7 linked regions of the Macaca mulatta genome follow. The protein of the gene in region 3 binds, or shares a complex with, the protein of the main gene of each other region. Links are inferred from orthologs where the notes say so. Each region holds a gene or a part of one and is shown on either strand. Other genes may lie near its edges. The genes, in order: MORF4L2, MBTD1, KAT5, ANP32E, BRD8, ING3 and RUVBL1.

What was found.
Region 1: KAT5 (region 3) and MORF4L2 share a complex: the UniProt entries of both Homo sapiens proteins name them as parts of the nuA4 histone acetyltransferase complex. The link is inferred for Macaca mulatta from reciprocal best matches to the Homo sapiens genes KAT5 and MORF4L2.
Region 2: KAT5 (region 3) and MBTD1 share a complex: the UniProt entries of both Homo sapiens proteins name them as parts of the nuA4 histone acetyltransferase complex. The link is inferred for Macaca mulatta from reciprocal best matches to the Homo sapiens genes KAT5 and MBTD1.
Region 4: KAT5 (region 3) and ANP32E share a complex: the UniProt entries of both Homo sapiens proteins name them as parts of the SWR1-like complex. The link is inferred for Macaca mulatta from reciprocal best matches to the Homo sapiens genes KAT5 and ANP32E.
Region 5: KAT5 (region 3) and BRD8 share a complex: the UniProt entries of both Homo sapiens proteins name them as parts of the SWR1-like complex. The link is inferred for Macaca mulatta from reciprocal best matches to the Homo sapiens genes KAT5 and BRD8.
Region 6: KAT5 (region 3) and ING3 share a complex: the UniProt entries of both Homo sapiens proteins name them as parts of the SWR1-like complex. The link is inferred for Macaca mulatta from reciprocal best matches to the Homo sapiens genes KAT5 and ING3.
Region 7: KAT5 (region 3) and RUVBL1 share a complex: the UniProt entries of both Homo sapiens proteins name them as parts of the SWR1-like complex. The link is inferred for Macaca mulatta from reciprocal best matches to the Homo sapiens genes KAT5 and RUVBL1.

The regions. Positions count from the first base shown.
Region 1 is NC_133426.1:110,318,700-110,322,941, reverse strand, and holds the start of MORF4L2 (mortality factor 4-like protein 2), read left to right. Parts: upstream 1-1,442; 5' UTR 1,443-1,507; intron 1,508-2,771; exon of another isoform or gene 2,772-2,848; intron 2,849-4,208; 5' UTR 4,209-4,242. UniProt on the Homo sapiens protein: Component of the NuA4 histone acetyltransferase complex which is involved in transcriptional activation of select genes principally by acetylation of nucleosomal histone H4 and H2A.
Region 2 is NC_133421.1:58,823,564-58,826,295, forward strand, and holds part of MBTD1 (MBT domain-containing protein 1), read left to right. Parts: intron 1-40; exon of another isoform or gene 41-764; intron 765-1,734; coding exon 1,735-1,853; 3' UTR 1,854-2,732. UniProt on the Homo sapiens protein: Chromatin reader component of the NuA4 histone acetyltransferase complex, a multiprotein complex involved in transcriptional activation of select genes principally by acetylation of nucleosomal histones H4 and H2A.
Region 3 is NC_133419.1:8,680,893-8,685,077, reverse strand, and holds the start of KAT5 (histone acetyltransferase KAT5), read left to right. Parts: upstream 1-1,385; 5' UTR 1,386-1,619; coding exon 1,620-1,797; intron 1,798-2,127; coding exon 2,128-2,196; intron 2,197-2,283; coding exon 2,284-2,420; intron 2,421-2,682; coding exon 2,683-2,865; intron 2,866-2,954; coding exon 2,955-3,029; intron 3,030-3,135; coding exon 3,136-3,210; intron 3,211-3,856; coding exon 3,857-4,105; intron 4,106-4,182; coding exon 4,183-4,185. UniProt on the Homo sapiens protein: Catalytic subunit of the NuA4 histone acetyltransferase complex, a multiprotein complex involved in transcriptional activation of select genes principally by acetylation of nucleosomal histones H2A and H4.
Region 4 is NC_133406.1:116,901,896-116,906,095, forward strand, and holds the start of ANP32E (acidic leucine-rich nuclear phosphoprotein 32 family member E), read left to right. Parts: upstream 1-1,400; 5' UTR 1,401-1,736; coding exon 1,737-1,790; intron 1,791-2,124; exon of another isoform or gene 2,125-2,467; intron 2,468-2,684; exon of another isoform or gene 2,685-2,965; intron 2,966-4,200. UniProt on the Homo sapiens protein: Histone chaperone that specifically mediates the genome-wide removal of histone H2A.Z/H2AZ1 from the nucleosome: removes H2A.Z/H2AZ1 from its normal sites of deposition, especially from enhancer and insulator regions.
Region 5 is NC_133411.1:146,994,368-146,997,801, reverse strand, and holds the end of BRD8 (bromodomain-containing protein 8), read left to right. Parts: intron 1-1,812; coding exon 1,813-1,990; intron 1,991-2,537; coding exon 2,538-2,630; 3' UTR 2,631-2,934; downstream 2,935-3,434. UniProt on the Homo sapiens protein: May act as a coactivator during transcriptional activation by hormone-activated nuclear receptors (NR). Isoform 2 stimulates transcriptional activation by AR/DHTR, ESR1/NR3A1, RXRA/NR2B1 and THRB/ERBA2.
Region 6 is NC_133408.1:160,738,879-160,742,378, forward strand, and holds part of ING3 (inhibitor of growth protein 3), read left to right. Parts: intron 1-624; coding exon 625-721; intron 722-2,504; coding exon 2,505-2,576; intron 2,577-3,500. UniProt on the Homo sapiens protein: Component of the NuA4 histone acetyltransferase (HAT) complex which is involved in transcriptional activation of select genes principally by acetylation of nucleosomal histones H4 and H2A.
Region 7 is NC_133407.1:155,874,757-155,878,256, forward strand, and holds part of RUVBL1 (ruvB-like 1), read left to right. Parts: intron 1-1,481; coding exon 1,482-1,545; intron 1,546-2,932; coding exon 2,933-3,131; intron 3,132-3,500. UniProt on the Homo sapiens protein: Possesses single-stranded DNA-stimulated ATPase and ATP-dependent DNA helicase (3' to 5') activity; hexamerization is thought to be critical for ATP hydrolysis and adjacent subunits in the ring-like structure contribute to the ATPase activity.

The sequences.
Region 1 (4,242 bases), on a different chromosome or scaffold from region 3:
AAATATTTCCACTTACTTGGTTTCCTTTCCTGCACTCTTCTTGACACTCCAGTCAACATTAGCCAAAGCAGGGAACAAGTTATTTCTAATGTATTTTGAGGCTTGGAAAGACAAGTCATTATGGTTACACAACAGAGTACTATTAGGGGCTTGGGCTAGAGGCAGGTGAAGTTCAAATCCTGGTTCCCATACTTGTTGTGTGCACTAAGAAAATAATTTGACATCTCTACACATTAGTTTTCAATCTGTAAAATAGGACTGATAATATGGATGGTGTGTGAAAACATATACTGTGCATCATTTATTATTTTGCTTTACATTCTGTAGCACCCTCTAGTGGTGTATACAAAAATATGCATTGCATTTCTACTCTCCAAAGCAGTGGTTCTCAAACTTCAGTGTGTGCTGGAATCACTGGGATAGTTTGTAATAACACAGATTACCAAACCCCACCGTGAGAACTTCTGATTCATTAAGTTTGAGGTGGGACCTGAGAATGTGAATTTCTGACAATTTTTCAGGTGATGCTGATGTTTCTGGTACATCCAGGAAACACATCTTGTGAACCACTGCTCTAAAAAAATCCCTCTTGTGTACAAGTATATAAGATAGATAATTGAAAGGGGTATGATTTTTGTTGTTTGACTTTGATCTAGTACTGCTCATCTAATAAGGACTTGGTGATAAATTAAAAAAAAAATCGACATGAAGGATATAACACAGCATCTAAAATATAGAAAGCATACAAAAAACTGAGGATCACAGAACATAAATCATTTGCCCAGGGTACTGAGACTAGTAAGTGGTGGAATGAGGTTAACAATTAAGTCTCTTTCTCTTACTCCAAAGACACAATAAAGTCTATCAATACCACTACAGAAAATAGGGTGCAAACACACATATCTGATACAAATTTCAAGAGAAAAGGAAAATCAGTTTTCAATACCAGGGTCCAAGTTTTACTGATGAGTTCTTATCTCTTTACTAAAGTAACAGCTATCTGTATTTTCAGTTTGGGTGAGTTGCGAGCATTTGAAAAGGTGAGGAAAAAGGGTTAGGATCTTCAGCATCAGTGCTTGGGTCATTCATTAACTCTTTGATTAAACAAGGCAAGGACAAAAGAAGCGAGGGATGGAGAGGGGCCTTCCCCCCCGCCCCCCCACCCAAGGAGAAAAGGAAAGAAATGAGTAAAATTATTTGGATCTTGGGTCACAGTTCCCTGACTACTAGTGCTATTCACAGAAGCTGATTTTATTTTTTCCTAGGAATGAACGATATCAATGATGCCTTAGATATTAGCGTTCAGCAAATCAAGAAAGGGGAGGGGGGAGGGAAACAAAATCCCAGAATCCCAGGGACCACACAGCCAATCCTTTGCTGGGATTTGGCGGCATCTAGTGGCGAACTCGAGAGGTATAAACCTTACCCACAGAACTTTCTGGAAAATTAACAGTGCGTATTTGCCTGAAGAAGGTCAGTGTGCTTGCTTGGAGATCAGGACGCAAAGGTAAGAGCGCCCTAGTCACCATAAAAATCCGGAGTCTCTAACGGAGGGGAAGGCTGTCATAGATAGATATTCTCATAGGAAAATTGTATTTGTGCCAAGAGAACTGCACGCAACCTTGAAGGGAGGGGGGAGGTGTGGAAGAGGGGAGGGAGGAGGATACTAGACAACTTGAAAGAAGTCTCCCTTTGGAGTTGCTAATGTGACGATGGAAGGCTTTGGCTCTGAATCATTGGAGGGCTGTGGTTTACGACCGGATTTTGGCACAGAGGAGTATTTAAATCAGGGAAAGCCAAAATATTTCTGACAGTGCCCCTTTATCTCTGTTATTGTCGCCTTGCCTTAATTATTTATTTTCATTTTCATTAGAACATTTTCAAACAAAATACAGAAATAGATAACCTGCGCGCAGTAGCTAACCCCTCCCCGCAACTCCCACCCCAATCACGCACGCGGGCGCGCGCCGTGGCTCTCACCAGTCCAGACGCCAGGGGCGCACGCCTGCGCAAACACATCACCTCCAGCGCCACGAGGGCCGCTCACACAGCAACCCCAGGGGCACTCGAGCCTGCCCGCGCACTAACACACTGGCCTTAATGCCTTGCGCCCGTTGCACTCACGACCCTAACTCGCAAACACAGCAGAACCCCCCACTGCGCCTTTTTTTTCCATGTTCGGGGAGTTGCGCCACAGGCCTGGGGGCGTGGCTCCAGATTTGACCTCGCGCTTCCCCACTCGCGGGAACCTTAGCTCATTTCCGCCTATTTCCGCAGGCCACGTAGACACTTCCTCTCCCAGTGGGGGGCTGGGGGGAAACACAAACCCATAATGCCTCCCTGCAGGAAAAAAATTAAAAAAAAAAAAAAAAGGAAAAGGAAAAAAAAAAAAACCTTCTGGTCAGAGGAACTCTGGGTCGTGAAATAGGCCACGTGAACATTCTGCCCTATAGACTTATGACCCAACGGCTGTCACGCTTTTGGAGGGCGGGCTAAAAACCTAAGAGGGCGAACGTCATTGGCCGGAACTCGCACTGACGGAGGAAGAGGATTGGTTTGCTGTAGGCCTTAACAGTGAAGAAGCAGGTTGCTAGCACCCGCCTTTACTGCGGCGAAGTGTCATTGCTGACGTGGGGGTGGTTGTCCAATCATTTGGTTATGGAACATTCTAAAACTTAGACAAGACGATTGTGATTGGCTGAAGGGCATACGCCCTCCTCCAGGGTGACGTGTCTGCCTATGGATATCAGTTGCCAGAGAAACCTGGCTTTACTATGGCGGTTGGAGGAACGGCAGTGATCACACGTCGTCTGCTGGGAAGATCTGGATTCTCGTTTCAGGTTTCGGGGTGGGGGTGGGGAGAAAGGGTCGATGATTTCCTCTTTTCGTCGGGTATAGACGGGATTAGCTAGTTCCTTCACAATCGGTCAGAGCTGGATTCAGATTCCTGCTCGCCAACGCCCAGCTTGGGCAAGGCTCCTGTTCTTTCTGTGTCTCGGTTTCCATGTTTGTAAAATGGTGATAATAATAGTATCTACCTCAGAGACGTGTACTGTATAATGGTGCGTATAAGGCACGTAATATGAAGCCTGGCCCCTGAAGATATTAGCTATTGTTATGGAGATAAATAATACACGTAATAGAATGAGAAAAATTATAAATTATATAAATTCGCTAATTGTAGTGCCCTTTCTGCCATCAACTTCTTTCCTAGAATAAATTAAAGATAAAAGAGATATATCAATTTTTACCAATGAAATAATTTGCTCTTTGGGAATTGCCTCAAAATTGCAGAGATTGTAATTTTCCCATGTTGAAAAGTTAAATAAAAGGTGGGGGGGTGGAGTGCGAGAAAGAAAGAGATGGAGAACGAGAGCGAGCTGGAGATGAACCACATGCGATGAGTAGGCCTTGTTTGGATCCTGAATCGAACACACCAACTGTAAAAATATGTTTAAGACGCATCGGGAAAATTGGAACATGGATTCGATATTTGATGTTTTTTAAGGAATTGATGTCAATTTTTTTAGGCGTCACAGTAGTATTGTGATTATGTTTTCAAATTGTCCTTTTTTGTAGAGACATATACGAAAATATTTACGGATTAAATAATATAATGTCTGGGATTGGCTTCTAAATACATTAATGACTAGGATTTGCTTCAAAATAATCTAAGCGGTAGGGGGAAATGGGGAGGGGTATAGATGAAACAAAATTGACCCTAAATTAATAATAGTTTTTGCTGAGTGATAGGCAGTGGGTTCCGTATATTAATCTGCTTTCCTTGGTATACGTTTAAATTTTTGTATAATAAAATACAGAAGTCAGATATTCCCGTGAGCTTGAAAAAGTCGGGGGTGGGGGGGAGCAGTGGGTGGGGTTATAGATGAAACAAGATGGCCTTCAGTTGGTAATTGTTGAAAGCTGGATGATGGATTCGTGTAGGTTTGTAATACTATTCTTTTATTTCATCCATTTGAAATTATCTTTAAGGAAAAGTTAAAAAAATTGTCAGAAATTATATAAATATACAATAAGTTAAATTTGAAAATGTAGCCACAAGAAAGGAAAAAGAAATACTTGTACATTATTTATCAGCTTTGGTGTCCTTTGTGTGTGATGAAATTGCATTGGCTGATGTAGAAGAAAGCCATATCTCATATCTTTTTATTTTATGTCCTTTCCTGTCCTTTTGTTTGACCTTCTAGGTCACCATCAGAAAAGCTAAGTTTGCTGTATAGT
Region 2 (2,732 bases), on a different chromosome or scaffold from region 3:
GCGATCCGCCCGTCTCGGCCTCCCAAAGTGCTGGGATTACAGGCTTGAGCCACTGCGCCCAGCCAGACAGTAACTTTAAGAAACCCGAACACAGCCAGGCGTGGTGGCTCACGCCTGTAATCCCAGCACTTTGGGGATGTGAAACTGAAAAACTGTTTTCCATACTAAAGACCTACAGAAACATGGCTATACTGTTAATCTGTTTTCGTTAAAGAATAAGTCATCAGATAAGAACTCAGGCAGGCACTCAGCATTGAACTGGCCCCCTGCCTTGTCCTCCCACATAGCTGGGACTGTAAGCATTAGCCACCACACTCGGCTCAGGAGTTTAATATTCGTTTTTCTTCGTAGGAGAAGAGGTGTACGCAGGGTCTCACTCTGTCACTCAGGCTAGAGTGCAATGACACAATCATAGGTCACTGTAATCTCGATCTCCTGGGCTCCAGCAATCCTCCTGCCTCAGTCCTGAGTAGCTGGGACTACAGGCTTGCACAGCCATACCCAGCTTTTTTTGTTTGTGTTTTGTAGAGCTGGGGATTTGCTACATTGCCCAGGCTGCTACCACATCCAGCCCAGATTTACTTTTTTAAAATGTATGTTACATCCTTATATAATTTATAATTTTTTTAATGTTTTGATTTAACATCAGATTTATATCTTTTTCTTCAGATAATGTTTTTAATAAAAGTACTCCTTGGGGCCAGGCGCAGTGGCTCACACCTGTAATCCCAGCACTTTGGGAGGCTGAGGCGGGCGGATCACGAGGTCAAGAGATTGAGACCATCCTGGCCAACATGATGAAACCCTGTCTCTACTAAAAATACAAAAATTAGCTGGGCGTGGTGGTGGGCGCCTGTAGTCCCAGCTACTCGGGGCAGGGGGGAGGAGGAGGGGGCGAGGTGCTGAGGCAGGAGAATCGCTTGAACCCAGGAAGCAGAGGTTGCAGTGAGCCGAGATCACACCACTGCACTCCAGCCTGGCTACAGAGTGAGACTCCGTCTCAAAAAAAAAACTCCTTGGGATTAATAATATATTAAAGTCATATTTATTGTGTTGGTAATTAAGATTGTACTTAAGAGGCCGGGCGCAGTGGCTCACGCCTGTAATCCCCAGACTTTGGGAGGCCAAGGCGGGTAGATCACAAGGTCAGGAGATCGAGATCATCCTGGCCAATATGGTAAACCACATCTCTACTAAAATACAAAAAATTAGCCAGGTGTGGTGGTATGTGCCTGTAGTCCCAGCTACTTGGGAGGTTGAGGCAGGAGAATCGCTTGAACCGGGAAGCGGAGGTTGCAGTGAGCCGAGTTTGCTCCACTGCACTCCAGCCTGATGACAGAGCAAGACTCCATCTCAGAAAAAAAAGATTGTACTTAAGAACCATGAAAGAACTACATCATTGTTTGTACAAACATTGACATAAAAGTGAATACTTGATCACAAAATTCTCATCCCAGTCAGATTAGTGAGCACCATTACCCTGAACATTTCATTGAAGATGTCCATTGTGCAGTGTGCATTATGCAGTACTGTTCCTTTCCAGAATGTTTCTTAACTGCTAATGTACTTGAAAATTAAAATTAACTGAATGCTCGTACTTTAGGGACTTAACTTGAAGTTACTGAAGAAATGAAGAAGTCTTAATAACTGTGAAACTGATGGAACATGAAGATCATAGGCAATCTGAGTACTCTAGAGAGCCTTAATGCCCATATGTTTCTCTCTCCCATTCAGTGACGACACTGCAGCTGAAGGAGGAGTTGCTGGATGGAGAGGACTATAATTTCCTCCAAGGAGCGTCTGATCAGGAAAGCAATGGCTCTGCCAACTTCTACATCAAACAAGAGCCATGAGGTGGCTCAGAAACTGAGGGCGAGAGGGGAAGGATTTTACACAGGACTGATTTATAATCAATCCAGCTGTACAGGGGGCTATTCTACTGGGACATTTTGCTAAACATAGAAGATTTCAGTTCCACATTTTTCAGGTGGGTGGGGAAACTATTTTAGTCGGGGGGGTGGGGTGGGAAATTTTCAATTTATAAAGATGGACAATTTTTGTGTTGTATTTGAAGCTTTTGAAAGAATTTTGTAATATTTTCCAACTTTGGATTTATGTGCATTGTTAACAAGAACTGAAATTCTAACTTTTTTGGTAAGATTAAAGTTTAGGTAGCAGGATTGAAGGAAATGATTTAAGAAGGATATAGGTGTTAAATGCAAATGAACTGTCATTACAAATGAACCTTTTTGGTACCTGTTGGGAGATTTTGGGATTTTTTAGAAGTTAGGCCAGTCACATCTCCAGCTTCCTTTGCTGCAGAAATATGCAACTGAACTCCTCATGGAGGGGAGGGGTCATCACCACACAGGTCATGGAAGGGGTCATTATTTCTGCTTGTTGGCATTTTATTGCAGCCCATTTTAAATGTTTGTACAGAAATATTTTTCATTCTGTGAAAATTTATTTGGAGTTCTATACGAAACTGGAAGAACTCTGGATACTTTTATATGTTCTCTTTTAATTAAAAAAATGATTAGAATTATCCTAACACTAAAGTGTTAAACTGGAATGGTTGACAGGATATACAGGATCTCAGTCTACACATTGAGGGGTTGGGGAAAATGCAATGTTGTTCTGAGTTTATTTTCCTTTCTAAAAAAATACCCCACGAAAGGGATTCTGATCAGTTCTCTGCCATTTCCCTCTGTCTGTGAAATAACAACTTGGTA
Region 3 (4,185 bases):
CCAAGAGTATTTAAACTCCAACAAATCCTGTAACTGGCCCCTATGGTCAGCCGGCCCCCACACTGGAGTGTACTTTCATTTTCAATAAATCGTTCATTCCTTCCTTGCTTTGTGCGTTTTGACCAATTCTTTTGTTCTTCTTTTTCTGTTTTTTTTTTTTTTTTTGAGACAGAGTCTCGCTCTGTCAGCCAGGCTGGAGTGTAGTGACATGATCTCGGCTCACTGCACACTCCGCCTCCCAGGTTCAGGCCATTCTCCTGCCTCAGCCTCCCGAGTAGCTGGGACCACAGATGCCCGCCAAAACGCCCGGCTAATTTTTTGTATCTTTTTTTTTTTTTTTTTTTTTTTGTAGAGACGGGGTTTCACCGTGTTGGCCAGGATGATCTCGATCTCCTGACTTCGTGATCCGCCCGCCTCGGCCTCTCAAAGTGCTGGGATTACAGGCGTGAGCCACCGCGCCCAGCCGTTTTGTCCAATTCTTTAAGATGCCAAGAATCTGGACACCCTCCACCAGTGACATCTTCACAGTTCTGAGGAGTATTCATGGGGTATTTTGTAGAATGTTTCTCAATTGGTATTTGTCTGATCTTTTTCTCATGATTAGGCTGGAGGTAGCTGGGATTTCAGGTGTGAGCCACCATGCCCAGTCTCCAAATCCTGTTTACGCAAAAATTTTTAAAAATTAGCCAGCCTTGGTAGTGCGCGCCTGTAGTCCCAGCTACTCAGGAGCCTGAGGTGGATCACTTGATCCAGGGAGGCGGAGGCTTCAGTGAGCGGAGATTATGCCTCCCCCGCTGCACTCCAGCCTGGGCGACACAGACCTTGTTTCAAAAAAAAAGCCTAATATGGCTGGGCGCCCTGGCTCACGCCTGTAATCCCAGCACTTTGGGAGGCCGAGGCGGGCGGATCACGAGGTCAAGAGATCCAGACCATCCTGGCCAACATGGTGAAACTCCGCCTCTATTGAAAATACAAATATTAGCTGGGTACTCTGGAGGCTGAGACAGGAATATTCGCTTGAACCCGGGAGGCGGAGGTTGCAGGGAGCCGAGATGGCGCCACTGCACTCCAGCCTGGCGACAGAGCGAGACTCCGTCTCAAAAATAAAAGAAGCCTAATACACGAAATAAAGCTAGAAATCTTCCCTGAGTCCTCCTGCCTACGGAATGAAGTCCACAGACCTGGGGGAGCGTTCGAGCCCCTCTAAGCACAGTTCCTTTCTCCAGCCTCTCGCGCGCAGTTCACTCCCGACAACACCTCCCGCCGCCACAAGGAGACGCCCGAGGACTGCCCTCCGTCAAAGCCCAAACGGTATTGCCACGTGACCCGCTCCGCATCCACGTGAACAGCGTCGCACCCGGTGGGCGTCACGTGACAGACTCAGTAGTTCTCCAATCGCTGTGCACGTTGTGGGGTTTCCACCTAGGACTCGGCCTGAGGCTTGTAACACTTCGTTTTCCCAGGAGTCACAGGGGCAGTCTTGCCCCTTGCAACTGGGTCGCGGTGACTCTCAAAGGTCCCCCTCTACAGGGGCTTCGTGAGGCCCGGGCCTACAGCGGGCTCGGTCCCGGAAGTGACGTCTCCCACAGGGGCCGGAAGTGGCAGTGGAGGGAGGGAAGATGGCGGAGGTGGTGAGTCCGGTGCCCGGGGCGGGGCGGAGGGAGCCAGGGGAGGTGGGTAGAGCCCGAGGCCCCCCAGTAGCCGACCCTGGCGCCGCGCTGTCTCCCCAGGGGGAGATAATCGAGGGCTGCCGCCTACCCGTGCTGCGGCGGAACCAGGACAACGAAGATGAGTGGCGTGAGTGACGTTGGGGGGCGGGGCTAAGGAACCTGAGGGCGAGGGGCGGGAGGGAGTCAACTGAACCCCCGGGATGGGGAGGGGCCTCTGGAATTATGGGGCGGGCGGGGCGCAGATACTCCCATGAAGGGGCGTGGCTCTTAGCTGCTCCGAGAGGTACAGGGCGGGGCCTGGAAAGGGGTGGCAGTAGTGACTGAAGGAGACTTAGGAGAGACCTTCTAAGTGCTGGAGCTTAGGGATCCGGCCTTGGGGTGGAGTTCAGGTCGTGGAAGGGTGGAGTCTCAGCCTGGCCCGGCCCGTCTAAGGCCCCTGCCTATGCTATTCCCATAGCCCTGGCTGAGATCCTGAGCGTGAAGGACATCAGTGGCCGGAAGCTTTTCTACGTCCATTACATTGACTGTGAGTTCTGGGCCTGAGGTGGGGCATCAGGGTAGGGTTGGGGAACAGTCTTTGGCATTCTGTCCTGAGCCATCCCCACTGCTGCAGTCAACAAACGTCTGGATGAATGGGTGACGCACGAGCGGCTGGACCTAAAGAAGATCCAGTTCCCGAAGAAAGAGGCCAAGACCCCCACCAAGAACGGACTTCCTGGGTCCCGTCCCGGCTCTCCAGAGAGAGAGGTGGTGAGTAGGTCCCCCACTTCACCTCTTCTCTCCTGCCTCGTGTTTCTCTTATCTGTTGGCATTAGGGGCTCCTGGATGGGCAGTAGGCGGCTCCCTCTCACCCTGACTTCATCTTGCAAAGGATGGGGGCCGAATTGCACATGTAGCTCCCAGAGTCCAGTAGCTAGTCCTGTGTCCTTCAGAAGGCGAGGGTGGGGTTTGATAATTTTGAGCTGAGGGACCCCTGTTCCCCTTCCCCATTCCACTGCCATCCCCGCCCCAGAGGAAGACCCTGGACCTATCTCTACAGCCGGCCTCGGCCCAGGCAAGCGGGAAGACCTTGCCAATCCCGGTCCAGATCACACTCCGCTTCAACCTGCCCAAGGAGCGGGAGGCCATTCCCGGTGGCGAGCCTGACCAGCCGCTCTCCTCCAGCTCCTGCCTGCAGCCCAACCACCGCTCAACGGTACCCTCAGCAATTCCAGGGACCTTGCTTTCTTCTCAGGTCCCACCTTCTCTACCTTCTGACCCACCTTTGTTGGTTTCTCTCTGCAGAAACGGAAGGTGGAGGTGGTTTCACCAGCAACTCCAGTGCCCAGCGAGACAGCCCCGGCCTCGGTTTTTCCCCAGGTGAGTTTCCCAAACCATTTCTTGTTCCCTTTCTCTCTTCTACTCTCTGGTGGCCTTTTTCAGGCTCATCTCACAGCCATCCCTTCTTTTACTACTATATCTGCAGAATGGAGCAGCCCGTAGGGCAGTGGCAGCCCAGCCAGGACGGAAGCGAAAATCGAATTGTTTGGGCACTGATGAGGTGGGTCTGGGGAGCAACAGAAGGAGCTGGGTGAAAAGGAAGGGATGCAAGCAGGGTGGAGAGTTAGTGATGAGTTTAAAAATAAAGAAGGGGTGGTAGGCGGGGCTAGTGTTGGTGGGATTAGGAGCCAGGCAGAACATGGTTCAAATGAGTCATTGGGGCTGGGTGCCATGGCTCATACCTGTAATCCCAGCACTTTGGGAGGCCAACCAAGGCGGGCAGATCACCTGAGGTCAGGAGTTCGAGACCAGCCTGACGAACATGGTGAAACCTTGTCTCTAATAAAAATACAACAATTAGCCAGGCGTAGTGGCAGGCACCTATAATCCCAGCTACTCAGAAAGCTGAGGCAGGAGAATTGCTTGAACCCCAGAGGTAGAGGTTGCAGTGAGCCAAGATCATGCCACTGTACTCCAGCCTGGGCAACGGAGTGAGACTCCATCTCAAAAACAAGGGTCATTCAGTGATCTTTTCCACATCATCAATCCCTTAGGGTTTCAGGTTTTTTATCCAGAAATTGGGGATCATGGTACCTCCCCCATAGGGTTGCTGTTAGGCTTGCAGGAAACCTGTCAAAGGGCTGTGAGCTGTGGTGTCCTGCTGAGCTGTCTCTTCTAACCTGGTATTTTCCACTGGCCCTGGGCAGGACTCCCAGGACAGCTCAGATGGAATACCATCAGCACCACGCATGACTGGCAGCCTGGTGTCTGACCGAAGCCACGACGACATCGTCACCCGGATGAAGAACATCGAGTGCATTGAGCTGGGCCGGCACCGCCTCAAGCCGTGGTACTTCTCCCCGTACCCACAGGAGCTCACCACATTGCCTGTTCTCTACCTGTGCGAGTTCTGCCTCAAGTACGGCCGTAGCCTCAAGTGTCTTCAGCGTCACTTGGTATGAGGGGTCCAGGGAAGCTGCCTTCCCAGCACTCTCCACGTTGCCCTTGTTCCTGACTGTCCTCTCTTCTCCAGACC
Region 4 (4,200 bases), on a different chromosome or scaffold from region 3:
AATAGCACGATTTCGGTTCACTGCAAACTCCGCCTCCCAGGTTAAAGCAATTCTCCTATCTCAGCCTCTGGAGTAGCTGGGATTACAGGCGCCCGCCACCACACCCGGCTAGTATTTTGTACTTTTTGTAGAGACGAGGTTTCACCATATTAGTCAGGCTGGTCTCGAACTCCTGACCTCAGGTGATCCCACCGCCTTGGCCTTCCAAAGTGCTGGGATTACAGGTGTGAGCCACCACACCCGGCTAAAAGATAATTATTATCCCACTCTTTCATATCCCATCCCACATAGACAAACTGGTTTTTTTTTTTTTTTTTTTTCCTTCTTCTGTCCTGAACACTAAATTTTAATCCCCTGAGGGGGTGCACTGTTCCTGGAGGTACTGTAATACCAGGTGGATGCGTTAAGTGAACAAGAAAGCTCCTATTGCGTCTTCCTGCTCCCCAAATCCATTTAATATATTGGACTCGGATAGAAAATATATCAGATATTAAACTGTTAAGAACAGATCCTACACTTGATCTTAGCCAAAAGGCAGAGAAGAAGCGATAAACACTTTTAAAAGCACACTTTACCTACAGATTTCCATGGAAACCAACCAAAGGGAAATTAGAGAGGCATTGCTGTGCCATTTCTATGCTAATTAATGTCTGATTTTCATTAGGCCAGCGTTGTTTTTCCTCCAAGGTCTTAGTGTTTATTACAGCAAAAATTAACTCAGTAACAATTCCTCCAGGATAGTTTTATTTAAATATTATTAACTTACATACTTCACCCAACTGCTTTCAAAATTGTTGTCTTTTATAGTGTTAAACTACCATCTTTAAAATCTTGGCTCTGGCTCTGCATCACGGAAGGTCAGCCTCTGTGAAAAGCCTGACCCCAGCAGGACAATGCCACCAAGGCATCTTTTTAATGTGATGCGCACGTTGCTGTACACCTTGGCTGCAAAGCAGAGGCTGTGTTTTTAAAACGGCCAAGAGCCAGTGCATGCCGTGTGGTGAATTATCAGTATCGCAAGTTGGGCACGGAAGGATGCTTTCTCCCTTTTTAACACTAACAACAGAATAAAAAACCAAAAACTAAAAAACAAATCCAACAGACAACAAAACCGTCCGAGTGCCCAGGGAAAGCGCGCCAACTACATAAAGAAAAGTAGGGGGGGAACTGGGATTCAAAATCATTACTCCCGGACGTACACCCTCCTGGACCTATCAAAATTAACTGCGCCCTTGATCGTAGCCAATAGATACGGAGTTTCTGGTCCAGGTCCTCCCTGAAGACTGATAGACATTTACCTAGCCCAATGGAATAATGTGACGCTAAAGAATCAACCAATACGTTTGGGAGGTGGGTGGAGTGTAGGCCAGGGGGTTGGCGGTGCCGTGTCATGGAGGCTCAGTCTCTGAGCAGCCATTGAAGGGGAAGGAACTGCGGGTGTGTGTGTGTGTGCGTGTGTATGTGTGTGTGTATGTGTGTGCGCGCGTGCGTGCGTGTGAGTGCGCGCGCTAGTGTGTGGACAAGGAGGTGGGGGCAGCTGAGTTAGAGTCCCAACTCTTGGACTCCATTTGCTATTCTCTTCTTTCTCCCCCACACCTATCTGGTGGTAGTGGGCGTTTATATTTGCGTTCCTTTTCATTCATTTCTAAATCTCTTAAAAATTTTGGGTTGGGGGTATTGGGAAAGGCAGGAAAGGGAAAAGAAGGAGAGTAGTAGCTGAAGAGCAAGAGGAGGACATGGAGATGAAGAAGAAGATTAACCTGGAGTTAAGGAACAGAGCCCCGGAGGAGGTGAGATGACTCAGCCCCCACCCCTTCCCCATCAGTCGTGTATTCTGAGGATCGGATTTCTGGTGGTCCTGGGTGGGTGTGCGGGGATGGAGTAATAAGTTAGCCCCCGCCCCCCCGGTTTAGGGTTGGGGAAATGTTTAATTTTAAGTTTTAAATCATTAAAATCTTCTACTTAAAATGGCGAAGGGTTGAAGTTTCTAGGGGCGTTTTTGTGTGTGCATGGGGGCTTAGCTCCTTTCGGCTTTCATCGAGTCGGGCGTCCTGGCCTCGTGGGGGCGGGAAGCGGGCTGGTGGGGGCGCTCTGCCGCTTCGCTCCCGGCGCTCCTCCTCCTGAGGGCCAGCGGCGTGGGACGCGACCCCCCAGTCCCACTCGGCCCCTGCCGCAGCCATCGGCGCCTGAGAAGTTAGTCCAACTTTTCTGCAGTGCGGCCAACTCATCTTTTTGGGGGGTGGGCTCCCCCGGCCTCAAGGCCCTGGGCATCCGACGTCGCGACGGGCGCGGACTGGGGTCGCTTTCAAGGTCCGCGCACTGTCTGCTCCGGCGGCGCCCACTCCTCCGGGAAGCCGCGCGCGCTGCCCTCCGCCCTCCGCCCTCCGCCCTCCGCCCGGCGGAATCTGGGTCAGCCGCGGGTTCTCTGACCGCGGGCGAGTTTGGGGACTCGTCGCAGTGACCGGAGGTGGGGAGGGGACGGGAGGCGTAATCCGCTTCTTCCCCCGCCGTGTAAAGATATGTGGCACGTCGTGTGGCCGCAACTCTTGAATTTGATCCCTGGAGACGGTTTCACAGAACTCAACATAAGGGACGTAGTAGTTTCGTGCTTTAAAGATGGGTTCGCCGAAACTAAATGATGCGCTCTCACTGCTGTTGCCTTAGTTAAAGAGACGGCGTTGGGAGGGGCCACATGAGGCGGGGTCGCGGTCAACTTTTCGGGGGTCGGGCAGGAGGCGTTTCCGCCTCCTTTTCGCGGTTGCCTCCTCGGCCTCACCTACCCAGGGCGAAGGCGCGAGGGCAACGCGGGTTGGGAGGCGACCCCTTTTTTCCTTGGGGAGTCCCCGCCCGGTGTGGGGTTTCCCGTCAGTCGGAGCGGCAGGTCGCGAGAGCAGGGCTGGTGGCCAGCGGGGAGCCTCGCAGAGGAAAGCATCTGTCTTGCTGAAAGAAGCCCTAGAATTGGAATGTAAGGGAGTTGTCTGTAGCTGGATCGACCGATCGATAGAAGGATATAACTGGGGTGGTGTCTGTGCAGACCCGCATAGAGGATGAGCAGGGTCTGTCTAGGCTTTCGCGTACGGCGTGTGGAGTGGCAACTAAGACTTTTTTTTTTTTTTTTTAATAAATTTTTTTTTTTTTTGAGACGGAGTCTCGCTCTGTCACCCAGGCTGGAGTGCAGTGGCCGGATCTCAGCTCACTGCAAGCTCCGCCTCCCGGGTTCACGCCATTCTCCTGCCTCAGCCTCCCGAGTAGCTGGGACTATAGGCGCCCGCCACCTCGCCCGGCTAGTTTTTTTTTGTATTTTTTAGTAGAGACGGGGTTTCACCGTGTTAGCCAGGATGGTCTCGATCTCCTGACCTCGTGATCCGCCCGTCTCAGCCTCCCAAAGTGCTGGGATTACAGGCTTGAGCCACCGCGCCCGGCCTTTTTTTTTTTTTTAAGGTGCCTGTTTTCTGAAATTGGCAGGGGCCAGGGAGGGGAAACAGTTGCTTGCTATCAGGGTCATTCCGGAGAGATCTTGAAGTTTCTAGAACTTATTCTTAGGGGCTTCAGGGAAAAAACAAAATCAAACTTGAAAAGCTGTCTCTCACAAGCACACGTTTAGAATACTTTTTGGTGGCTTGGGTTGGAAAATTGAATCCCGCCCCCGCCTCCCCCGCCAGGATTCTTTGACTTAGTGATTGTAGTAATTTCTTTGCCAGTTTTGGGAGTGCAGGACGTTGCCTTTTTTCAGCTTCTTCCTCTGTGTTGTAATAACGGTCTCTTACATTTGTGTAGACAGTTTACAAAGCACTTTTCCCGTTTGTTATTTACTTTCCTCCTTACACACTTGTAAAGTGGATTGTGTTATTCTAGAATCCAAATTAGCAGACGGAGTCTCAGGACAGTGAAATGATTTACGCAAGTGCAGGAATTGGTTTTCTGACACCAAATCTAGTAGCCCCCACTCCTCAACTAAATGGGGAGTGTGAAGACGAACCAATTCACAGCCCTGCTGCAAACCAAGTGTGACTCTAGGCAAGCCATTCTTGTTCTCTGGGCCATAGCTTCCACTTCTCCAAAACGGAGCTCAAGATGCTCTCTCTGGCAACAGAAATAATTATGTCAAAGTCGTATTCAAATAGAGAAGGTGGCATTCCTTGTTGCCAAATTTTAGCCCTCGGATACCTCAAACAGGTTTTCACATCGGGTATAGAGAAC
Region 5 (3,434 bases), on a different chromosome or scaffold from region 3:
ACAATACCACAGGCTGGATAATTTATAAAAAATAGAAACCTATTCCTCTTTGTTTTGGTTCTGGAGTCTGGGAAGTCCAAGATCAAGGCACTGGTAGTTTTGGTGTGTGAGGTGGGTTACTCTCTGCTTCTAAGGTGATGCCTTGTTGTTGTATTCTGCAGAGGGGATGAACACTGTATCCTCACATGGCAGAAGGGACAGAAGGGTAAGAGGGCACTCTCTTCGATATGGAGCCCTTTTATAAGGATGCTAATCCCATTCATGAAGGCAGAGTACTCATGAGTTAATTACCTCCCAGAGGCCCCACCTCTTAATACTGTTGCACTTGGGATTAAGTTTCAATATGAATTCCAGAGGGGATACCATCATTCAAACAGCAGAGACAGAATGATACCATCATTCAAACAGCAGAGATAAACTTCTTTAGGTATGAGGAAACTAAAGCTCAGAGGTGCTTGGTCATGACTTGCTCGTGATCAACCAACAGTTAATAGCAGAGCTAGAACTAAGCCCCAGATTCTTACCTGCAGTTCAGTCTTCTTTCTACACTGCTGTGCCTTCTCTTATATATCTACTTTCTGTGTTTCATTAATATTGTTTTAATATTCACTTGATCCTTTTTTCATCTCCATGAAAGGAGAAAAAATTATTCTTAGCTTTTTATTTGTGCAGTAAGAGAAGTAGATTAAATAATATATGACTGTACATTGTAAACAGCAAATAACTACTGTGTGATAAACTTATCATTGGTGCTGTCTACAACTTTGGTACCTGGGGCCAGCACTGCTCCTCTGATCGTATAGTGGCTTGACCTGTGGGCTCTGGAGTCGGGCTGCCTCTGAATTGGAATTTAGGCTGTGTGCCTTTCAGTGAGTACTTAACCTCTTTAGATTTCAATTTCTTCATCTGTCAAATGGAGATAATAAGGCCAGGGGCGGTGGTTCATGCTTTGGGGTAATCCCAGCACTTTGGGAGGCCAAGGAAGGTGGATCACCTGAGGTCAGGAGTTCGAGACTAGCCTGACCAACATGGTGAAACCCTGTCTCTACTAAAAATACAAATATTATGGCCGGGCGTGGTGGCTCACACTTGTAATCCCAGCACTTTGGGAGGTCTAGGTGGGCGGATCATGAGGTCAGGAGATTGAGACCATGGTGAAATCCCATCTCTACTAAAAATACAAAAAATTAGCCGGGCGTGGTGGTGGGCGCCTGTAGTCCCAGCTACTTTGGAGGCTGAGGCAGGAGAATGGCATGAACCCGGGAGGCAGAGCTTACAGTGAGCTGAGATCGTGCCACTGCACTCCAGCCTGGGAGAGAGAGCGAGACTCCGTCTCAAAAAAAAGCAACAACAACAACAAAAAAACCAAGAATTAGCTGGGCATGGTGGCGCACACCTGTAATCCCAGTTATTCTGGAGGCTGAGGCAGGGGAATCGCTTGAACCTGGGAGGCAGAGGTTGCAGTGAGCTGAGATTGCTCCATTGCAATGGAGCAACCAGAGTGAAACTCCGACTTTAAAAAAAAGTGCAACAAGAGTGCAACTCTGACTTAAAAAAAAAAAAAAAAAGGAGATATTAATGATACCTACCTTACAGGTTTATTGAGAGGATTGAGTTAGTATAGAAATACAGTGTTTGGCCTATTGTAAACAGGCAAATATTAACTGCTGTTGCTATTTTATTATCTGATGAGGGTTGTTATCTTTGTTACTGTTTTCATTAAGAACTGGTTAGTTCTTCAAGAGAACATGTTAGGTTATCATGTTCCACACAGAGGTTTGATTTTCTTTATTTTTTCTTGGTCACCTGCAGACCCATGGACTTAACTAGCCTGAAGAGAAATCTCTCTAAAGGTCGGATTCGCACCATGGCCCAATTCCAGCGAGACCTGATGCTGATGTTCCAAAATGCTGTAATGTACAATGACTCTGATCATCACGTATACCATATGGCTGTGGAAATGCGGCAAGAAGTCCTGGAGCAGATTCAGGTAGTGTATGTGGAGATCTGTAGCCTCTGGAATCTTGATTTCAGATCAAGATTCTATGAGAATAAAGGTGATTTTGAGGTGACTTTGTGTTCTCAGAGTTTACTTTTAAAGGTGATTAAGGCCCTGAAGGATTGATAATGTGCCAGCTGGTTTGGAAAACCCTGAGCCTCACAGTAAGTCCAGCTTTGATAGTGAAGTCGTCTAGGAATGCAGGCAGCAGTGAAGAGCTCTCAAGAGAGCTGAGGATAGACAAGTAATGGGAATTTCCGCTTCCAGAGCCTCAAGTCAAGGGCTAAACTTCAAAGAGGCCGGAGTCACTGTGTATTTTTTGGTTGCTTCATCTGTTGATATTAATGTATGTTCACACTTTCCCATCTTTAGGGGATAAGATATAGTAGCTAGAAGACATTTGTGGGTTTCTTTTCTGGGTAGCATCATACTTTAAAGAAAAAAGTATAGTTGAGTCTATTTGCCAAAAAAAAAAAACTTGCAATACTTCAGCGTTTAGGGTTCATAATAGCTTGCTATGTGTTCCTTAACCCTTTAGGTACTGAATATTTGGTTAGACAAAAGAAAAGGCTCAAGTAGTCTGGAAGGGGAACCAGCCAATCCAGTGGATGATGGAAAACCTGTTTTCTAACCTGCAGCTGCTATCCTGACTTTTTCTAGAGTTTCAACCTCTCCCCGAACTCTGACCTACAGAGGATCCTGGGACTTCTTTGCCATGTCCCTACTTTCTTTTCAAATAAGAATAATGCCTTAACTCACAACCAACGAGTCAAAGATGCATGTGGACATAATATAAAGAAAAAAAGGGGAAGCTGAGGTTTGGGTTTATGCCATAAATGTTGCCCACATCTTTGTTCCATAGGCTTGATTTAAAGACAATTCGATTAGATATTTTACTAAGCCTTTTACTCTATAAATAAATGTCTTTACACAAACGGAATATTGCTTTTTAATGACTAGATAAGCTGAGCATAGAGGGGACAGCATCATCCAGCGAAATGAAGGTATCTGACATGGGTCTTCTTACATTTACCACCTGGAAAGGAATGGGGGGGGGTTCTTATCATTTATAGAGTAGGGATAATTGCAGCATCCTTCAGACTGGCAGAAGGATGACATAAGTTATGAGTAAAATGTCAGAAAACATCTAGTGATCTAAGATTCACAAGGAGAATAAAAATGACTGGCTGGTTCCCTTTGGTTAAAACGAACTGGCCAGATGCTGCAAGGCTCCTTGCTGGGATTGGCCCTCTGCAGCCACCGTCCTCACGCTAGGGCCTCAGGTCTCCTAGCAACAAGTTGTAGCGTACGAGGACGGCCGCGGAGGTGAGTACTTAAGAGTCAAATTCAGAATTTGCAGGTGCAATCCAGAAAGTCCCCGCGGACCCAGAGGCCCTGCTTTCCAATTAGGCCTGACCCTATGCACAGAGAGGTC
Region 6 (3,500 bases), on a different chromosome or scaffold from region 3:
GTATTTTAAATAAAATAATTTTAACCAGGCCCTTTGAGGAATGGAGTTTTCTGACTAACAACCCCTTTTGTTTCACCTCTTCACATAAGTGTTTACAAGCATTATGATTCACTCTCATGCCTTAGAGAAATAAATGTATAGAATATAGGAACTTCTTTGTAGACTGAGGATCTTTCATCATTCTAAATAATAGCTTTTATCGTGTGACAGTGACAGTGTGGATGATGGCCTTATAAGTAGGAGGAGATTAGGCTCTAAGTAATCACAGGGCGTATTATGAAAAGTGACCAGCCTCCACCATCCCCTCCTCCCATTCTCTAATCCCTAATCAGTTTTGCTTTAATTTTCACGTCCTTACTTCTGAAAATGGAGTATAGAACATTTCCTAACAAGTTGAGAGTCTGGGTCTTAGAACTTAAAATTTATTAAAGGAGACTTCGGAGATTATTTAGCCTAGCACCCTCATTTTATAGATTAAAAACCTCTGAGGCATAGGTTAATTGACTTGCTCAAGGATACTAAGCAGATTGACTAAAAGAAACAAAGATTTAGGTTTCCTCATTAAACTGACACTTTAACAGTGTCCCAAATTTTGGTGGTTATCTTTGATCTTCTTTGAAACAGGTAGATCGACACTTGAGAAAGCTGGATCAGGAACTGGCTAAGTTTAAAATGGAGCTGGAAGCTGATAATGCTGGAATTACAGAAATATTAGAGAGGCGTAAGTAAAATTTACAGTTTTCCATCAATATTGGACAGTACATGTGCAAATCACTGAGAAGACCTTGTCTCACAGAGGCTTTTGAAACCTGCCCTTCAGTGGATGGTGGCATCCAGGTCAGATAGCTTGGACCCTAGCAGTTGGAAATGTTTGGGTCATGGATACTGAGAGAGATAATATAGGATATCATCCACTCACTCTTTATGAAATAACATATTAAATAATTTTATATTCACATATATTAGTAAGTTGAGTGGTAAGAACAAATTTAAAGAAACGTAACCATCGGGACACAAATTAACCATCTTGCATTAAGTATGTTGACTTTACTCTGCCTCTTTATACACTTAAGCTTTGAGGAAGGTTGTTAGTTTCTTAAGAATTGTTTTATGGCTTTTCCTTAACTGCATATACTGAAAAAGATTCCATTGGTTTCATAACACTACCTCTTTTTCTTAAAGAAGTGTTTCCCTCTTTCCCTTATCAGCAAGAAACCATTTTAATATTTCTTTGCAAGGCTCTATTTGATCTCCTGCTATAACTTACCCCTGTCACTTCTTTGGTGTGTCTTCCCAAAAATGGAAGCGTGAGCACTGTTTCCTTGACTAATTTAGCATTTCCTCCAACCTAAATAGGTAATATACATAAAAGCAGTTAGTGTGGTACTTGGTATAGAGTAGGCACTCACTGGATGTTAATTGAACCAAGTTAGTATTATGGCTAATTTCTACTAGAATTTAATTAAAACTTTCAAACATATTTTTTCTTGATGCATTTCAACAGCAAGAATATATACCTGTTTCTACACACAGATGAAAGGTTTCTTTACAGTGCCAATCTATGTATCTCTCTATATAGTCACTAGAAGTCAGCTAGGGAAGCCAATCACAGATCTGTCTTGGTGTCTATAGTTGCATTTTTGTGTTCAAAAGTAGATGCATCACTTTAGATAATCATCTATTTATTTGTGATACTTTTCTTCTGGAGGAACCCTATATAAAGATAATAAGTATTTTGAGACAAAATTAAAAATTCTGTAGCTGCTTTGATTTTTAAAAAATGCTGATGATAGCTGTGAGTAATGATAATTCATGCCTATTCAGTACTGCAGGAAGGTTACTAAAGCATCCTCTCTAAGGACACAGACATATGAAACAAAATTGGATCAAGTTATAAAAACTGCTCCACCCTGTGCCCTGCCATAATTTCATCTCAAGGGATCAAAAATAAACCCAGAAAAATTTATTTAGAGGTGTTTTAAAGCTTGGTGTTACAAATTCTATTCCTCACTTTTTGCAAACAAATCCCTAACTTCTTTTAGGAAGTCTTTATTACCATAATGTCATTTTAATGATCAAATAATTTTTTTCATATAGTAATGTCCCCCATCACATAGAACTTTAGAATCTCCCATTAAAACATCTTCAAGTCAGTAAAACTAGATTGACTCTTACCAGTAATGAGATTACAATGTCCATTCATTCATTTATATGCCACCCACTGTGGTGAATTCCCTAATTAGACACGAGTATTCCTTGAGCCATATTGTACTTAAGGTAAATATTGGGAAAGGGATAACTTATTGTTTAGAGAGAGGATATACTCAGTGTGGGATGGACAGTGGTGATCCTCTAACATGTCTGGCTAAAATAATACAGGCATATGCATCAGAACTTGCTAGTCCTCTGCTGGGTAAGGGAACTCATTGCCTGTAGTTGAGTGATATGTGAAGTTCTGCGGTGACATTTAATGGTGGTGTATCTCTGTGCCTCTCTTCTTTTAGGATCTTTGGAATTAGACACTCCTTCACAGCCGGTGAACAATCACCATGCTCATTCACATACTCCAGTGGAAAGTAAGTTTGGTGTAGTGCAGCTAAGTTTTAAAAACAATGAAAACCTTATTATATCATCTGTATGTTCTCTTTTTTTAACTCTATACAACCAATTGAGAAGTAAATCCCTTCTTTTTTTTTTTTTATTGCAAGTACTGGCAGACTTATCTTTTTCCTTGAGGAGAGCATAGGTGATTCGGAAATGAGTATTCTGTTTTCTCTTAAATGTGTAGAGGGAGAATGTATAGTACTAATAGCATATATTCCCTTCATATACATACCTGATTCTCCTTAGGGAGCTAAGCATATATTCTAATAACATATATTCCCTTCATACGCATACCTGATTCTTCTTAGGGAGCTAAGCATATATTTTAATAATATGTATTCCCTTCATACTCATACCTGATTCTCCTTAGGGAGCTAAGCATATATTCTAATAGCATATATTCCCTTCATACACATATCTAATTCTCCTTAGGGAGCTAAGCATATATTCTAATAACATATATTCCCTTCATACACATACCTGATTCTCCTTAGGGAGCTAAGCATATATTCTAATAACATGTATTCCCTTCATACTCATACCTGATTCTCCTTAGGGAGCTAAGCGTATATTCTAATAACATATATTCCCTTCATACACATACCTGATTCTCCTTAGGGAGCTAAGCGTATATTGTAATAACATATATTCCCTTCATACACATACCTGATTCTCCTTATTCAACTGAGCCAAACAATAAACTATTTTGTAATAGGCCCTTTGTCTTTTTTATCCTTGCTTCTCCAGTGCTTAACCTAATGTTTGGCATATAATTAAGTCTGAATGGTTGGTAAGTCAGTGAGTGGATGAATTGTTAGTCAGATGACTGCTGGCTAGTTGATACAGTCAAAAAATGACTGTATCAGTGCTTCTTTTGACACATCAATTTGGTGGGA
Region 7 (3,500 bases), on a different chromosome or scaffold from region 3:
CTCCAGCAGTGGGCTCACGCCTGGGATTCTCTGGGTGTTAATGGCAGGAGGGCAGGAGTGTTCTGTGAGCCCGTTACAGGATTTCAGAAAGCCTGACAAAGCTCTTTCTTTCCCCCTGCTTAGCAAAAGCCACAGTGTTTTAGCTTTGAGCTGGTACTGTTGTCTGCTTCTCATGCAGATGGATACTTATGCCTTGACTAGTAAAATGTAGGAAAGGATGTTATCACTTTACAGCATTTGTAGGAAATATGTGATTAAAAGAAACAAGACACCACTGTTTCTTGTGATGGTCTTGCAGTTTGGTTTCCTCTTCATCCTAAAAAAGACCTCTTCACTATTAGGGAATAGTTTGTTTTCTGACTTGAAATTTGATCCGTGGGTGTTTTGTTCCTTGGAGCTTTGGTCAAGAGATTACTGAAGACTTATTTTGGAGCAACAGGTCCCCTCGGTTGGTGAAGTGGCCATCCGCAAACTGAACTCCTGGGAGCCCTTGACCTGAGAAGAGTGTTGGGCTGGGAGTCAGAAGTCAGGAACTGTGTTGCTCCATCACTGACCAGCTTGGTTAATTTGTCACTTTGGGTCTCTGGGTTTTCTGTGGTTTAGGGTTCTGATTTTGAGTTTTCTCCTACCTGGCAAGGCAGTTTTGAGGACCAGACAGGAAACATTTGCTGCCTTTAGCTATTCAGCATTTAGTGAGCACCTCTGTGTCTCAGGGCCTGGTAACTAACAGGTGATCACTAAATGCTGAACAAATGACCAAACACCAGCCTCTTCCTCTTGCTGACTGCACTCTTAGGAGCCCATAGGAGGATGCAGGTGAGTGGTGAACCTGTTATGGAGTCAGCCATTCCACAGGGAGGGGCCCATAGACTGAGTAGCTCTAGGTTAAGTAAGGACTAGGCTGATGCAAGCCTGTGGTCAAATCTAGTGAGAGGAGGCACAGCAGTATAATCATGGTATATTTATACTTACTCTTTATACTTACTCTTGTAGTCCGTGTGTCCCCAAAGGCACAGAAACATTGGGAGGAAGTCATGAGTCTGGTTAGGGTCAAATGCCCCCTAGAGGGCATTTGACTTGAACTTTAATGACTGGGAACTTCCTAGGAAGGAGAATGGCATTCCTGGCAGATGGAATAGACTCAAAAGCATCGAGTCATAAAAGAGCTTGCGGGTGTCCAGGGCAGGGCTGGTAGTCTCATGTGGCTAATCAAGGAACAAGGGATTGGAAAAAGATAGGGCTGGAGAAGGAGGCTGGGCAGGCCCCACGGAGCTTATACTTACCATGAAAGGATTTTGTTTGATTCTTACAGGTCAAGGGAACCTCTAAAAATTCCTCTGTGTTTAGAAGCTCCTCAGGCTTTGAGGAGGGGTCTCCTTACCTCAGGATCCCATGTTGAGTTGATGAGTGGGATGCAGGGGGATGAGGCTTCTGTAGTCACCTTACAAAGCAGCACTGACTCTAAGTCTTCTCTTATGCAGGGGGGACAAGATATCCTGTCCATGATGGGCCAGCTAATGAAGCCAAAGAAGACAGAAATCACAGGTAGGAGAACCAGCGTGGCCTGCGAGCAAGGGGCAGGGTGGAGGGCCCTACATTCTGAGATGCCCTTGCGGCTCTGTGAGCACATCCACCCTGAGAAAATGCCTCAGAACAGTTCCTTCTTCCTCATAGTTCAGAGCTTGACTCTAGCCTTAGTCTCTGGCATTATTTAGGCAGCCATACAGCAAGCACACTGTGTGGTCTCTGCCCCACTGCAGTCACAGTTTCTGGTCCCTATGAGGCCCCAGAAATGTGGATTTATTTCGCCCAGCTCTGCCCGAGCACAGACTCTGGAGCCTTGGTGCTGTCAGCCCCTCCCTAGTAGAGCACAGGGCAGCTTCACAGACCAGCTCCACGCACTGCCCTGCCCAGTTCGTGGGCTCTTCCTAGAGCTCCACAGGGGACACTGCTGCTGCTCTCCTGTGAACCTTTATTTTACCCTGCGGCTCTTCCCAGCTTTCCTGTTGCTGTTTTTTTCTAATTCTACCTACAATTTCGTCACTTTAAGATGTTAGTTAAACATTAAAGCAAATATTATCTTTAAAGTTTTAGCCAGGGCAGCAATCTGAGACCTTTCTGTTTGAGTTGTCAGGAGCAGTTTCTTTCTTTTCACATGATTTTCAGTGTGCATCCTCTTCGGACAATCCCGGCCTTGTGCCTTTGGTGGAAGACGCTGCCTCAGATCTTCCAGTTTTCTGTTTGTGAGCTGCTCCCTCCTGACAATAACACAGGAGCTGGTTTGGAAAATGAGCACTGAGACCTTAGCTGGGTTATGTAACTTTTGAGAGACTCATCCCTCTAGGAGCTCTGAGATTGGGCCTTTCTTCAGAGCCTTTCATTCCTCGAAGGTTTCTGCTCGGGATTCTAAAAGCACCCACTTCCTTATTCCAGGCACTTGATTGAAAGTTAATTAACCTAAGCATTGTTGTATGGGACCAAAAGAAAGGGTCATTTACTGAGTATAGAATAGGAAAATTTGCATGTGAAAACTCATTTCACTCAGGGCTCCTAAACTCCAGTGTCTCCCAGATCAGACAGAGCTACACTGGGTGTGTGGGAGGTGATAAGGCATGGTAGGGAGTGTGACAGCAGTGAGCATGTGCTGTGAAGGGATTCCCATGCAGAACACCCGTGCTACCTTTTTACATTTAACCAAACACATCTTTTGGGGGAGGCTACCAATTTTGTGACCTTTAGGTGTGATTATCACTGTGTTCAGATGATGACACTGAAGCCTGGAGTGGGGGGACACACCCTGTCAGGGATCACATAGCTAGTAGGAAAACTAGGCTCCCAGCATGGGTTTGGATTGAATTCAGGTGGAGGAGAAAAGGCGATAGTCTCTCCCAGCCCTGTGCTGACCTTGCCTGCCGATCCTTGCATCTCCTAGACAAACTTCGAGGGGAGATTAATAAGGTGGTGAACAAGTACATCGACCAGGGCATTGCTGAGCTGGTCCCGGGTGTGCTGTTTGTTGATGAGGTCCACATGCTGGACATTGAGTGCTTCACCTACCTGCACCGCGCTCTGGAGTCTTCTATCGCCCCCATCGTCATCTTTGCATCCAACCGAGGCAACTGTGTCATCAGGTAGGATGGCTGCCTGCCAGCCACAAGGCTTTTTTACCTTCCAGCTGGGCTCGTTTGTTCCTCAGGATCTCGCTAAACCCCACGAGGTGGAATGGGGATGAGGGGAGGTCACGTTGTTTTTGAAGGAAAACGTGCCAAGTGGCTTGCCTCTGGTCTCATTTCCCTAGTCACCAAAGGCAGCAGCTGCCCTTTCACTCATGATGAGGGTCTCCCATGTGATCTCTGGGGTGTGATACTACAATCTGGTCATTCAATTGGCGTGCACAAAGGTGAGATCAGACAGGGCTAGCCTTTGGTGACATTATACACATGAACGTCTTCAGGCTTCACCTGCACTCTGAGAGGTAGGCATTATTGACATCATTTTTC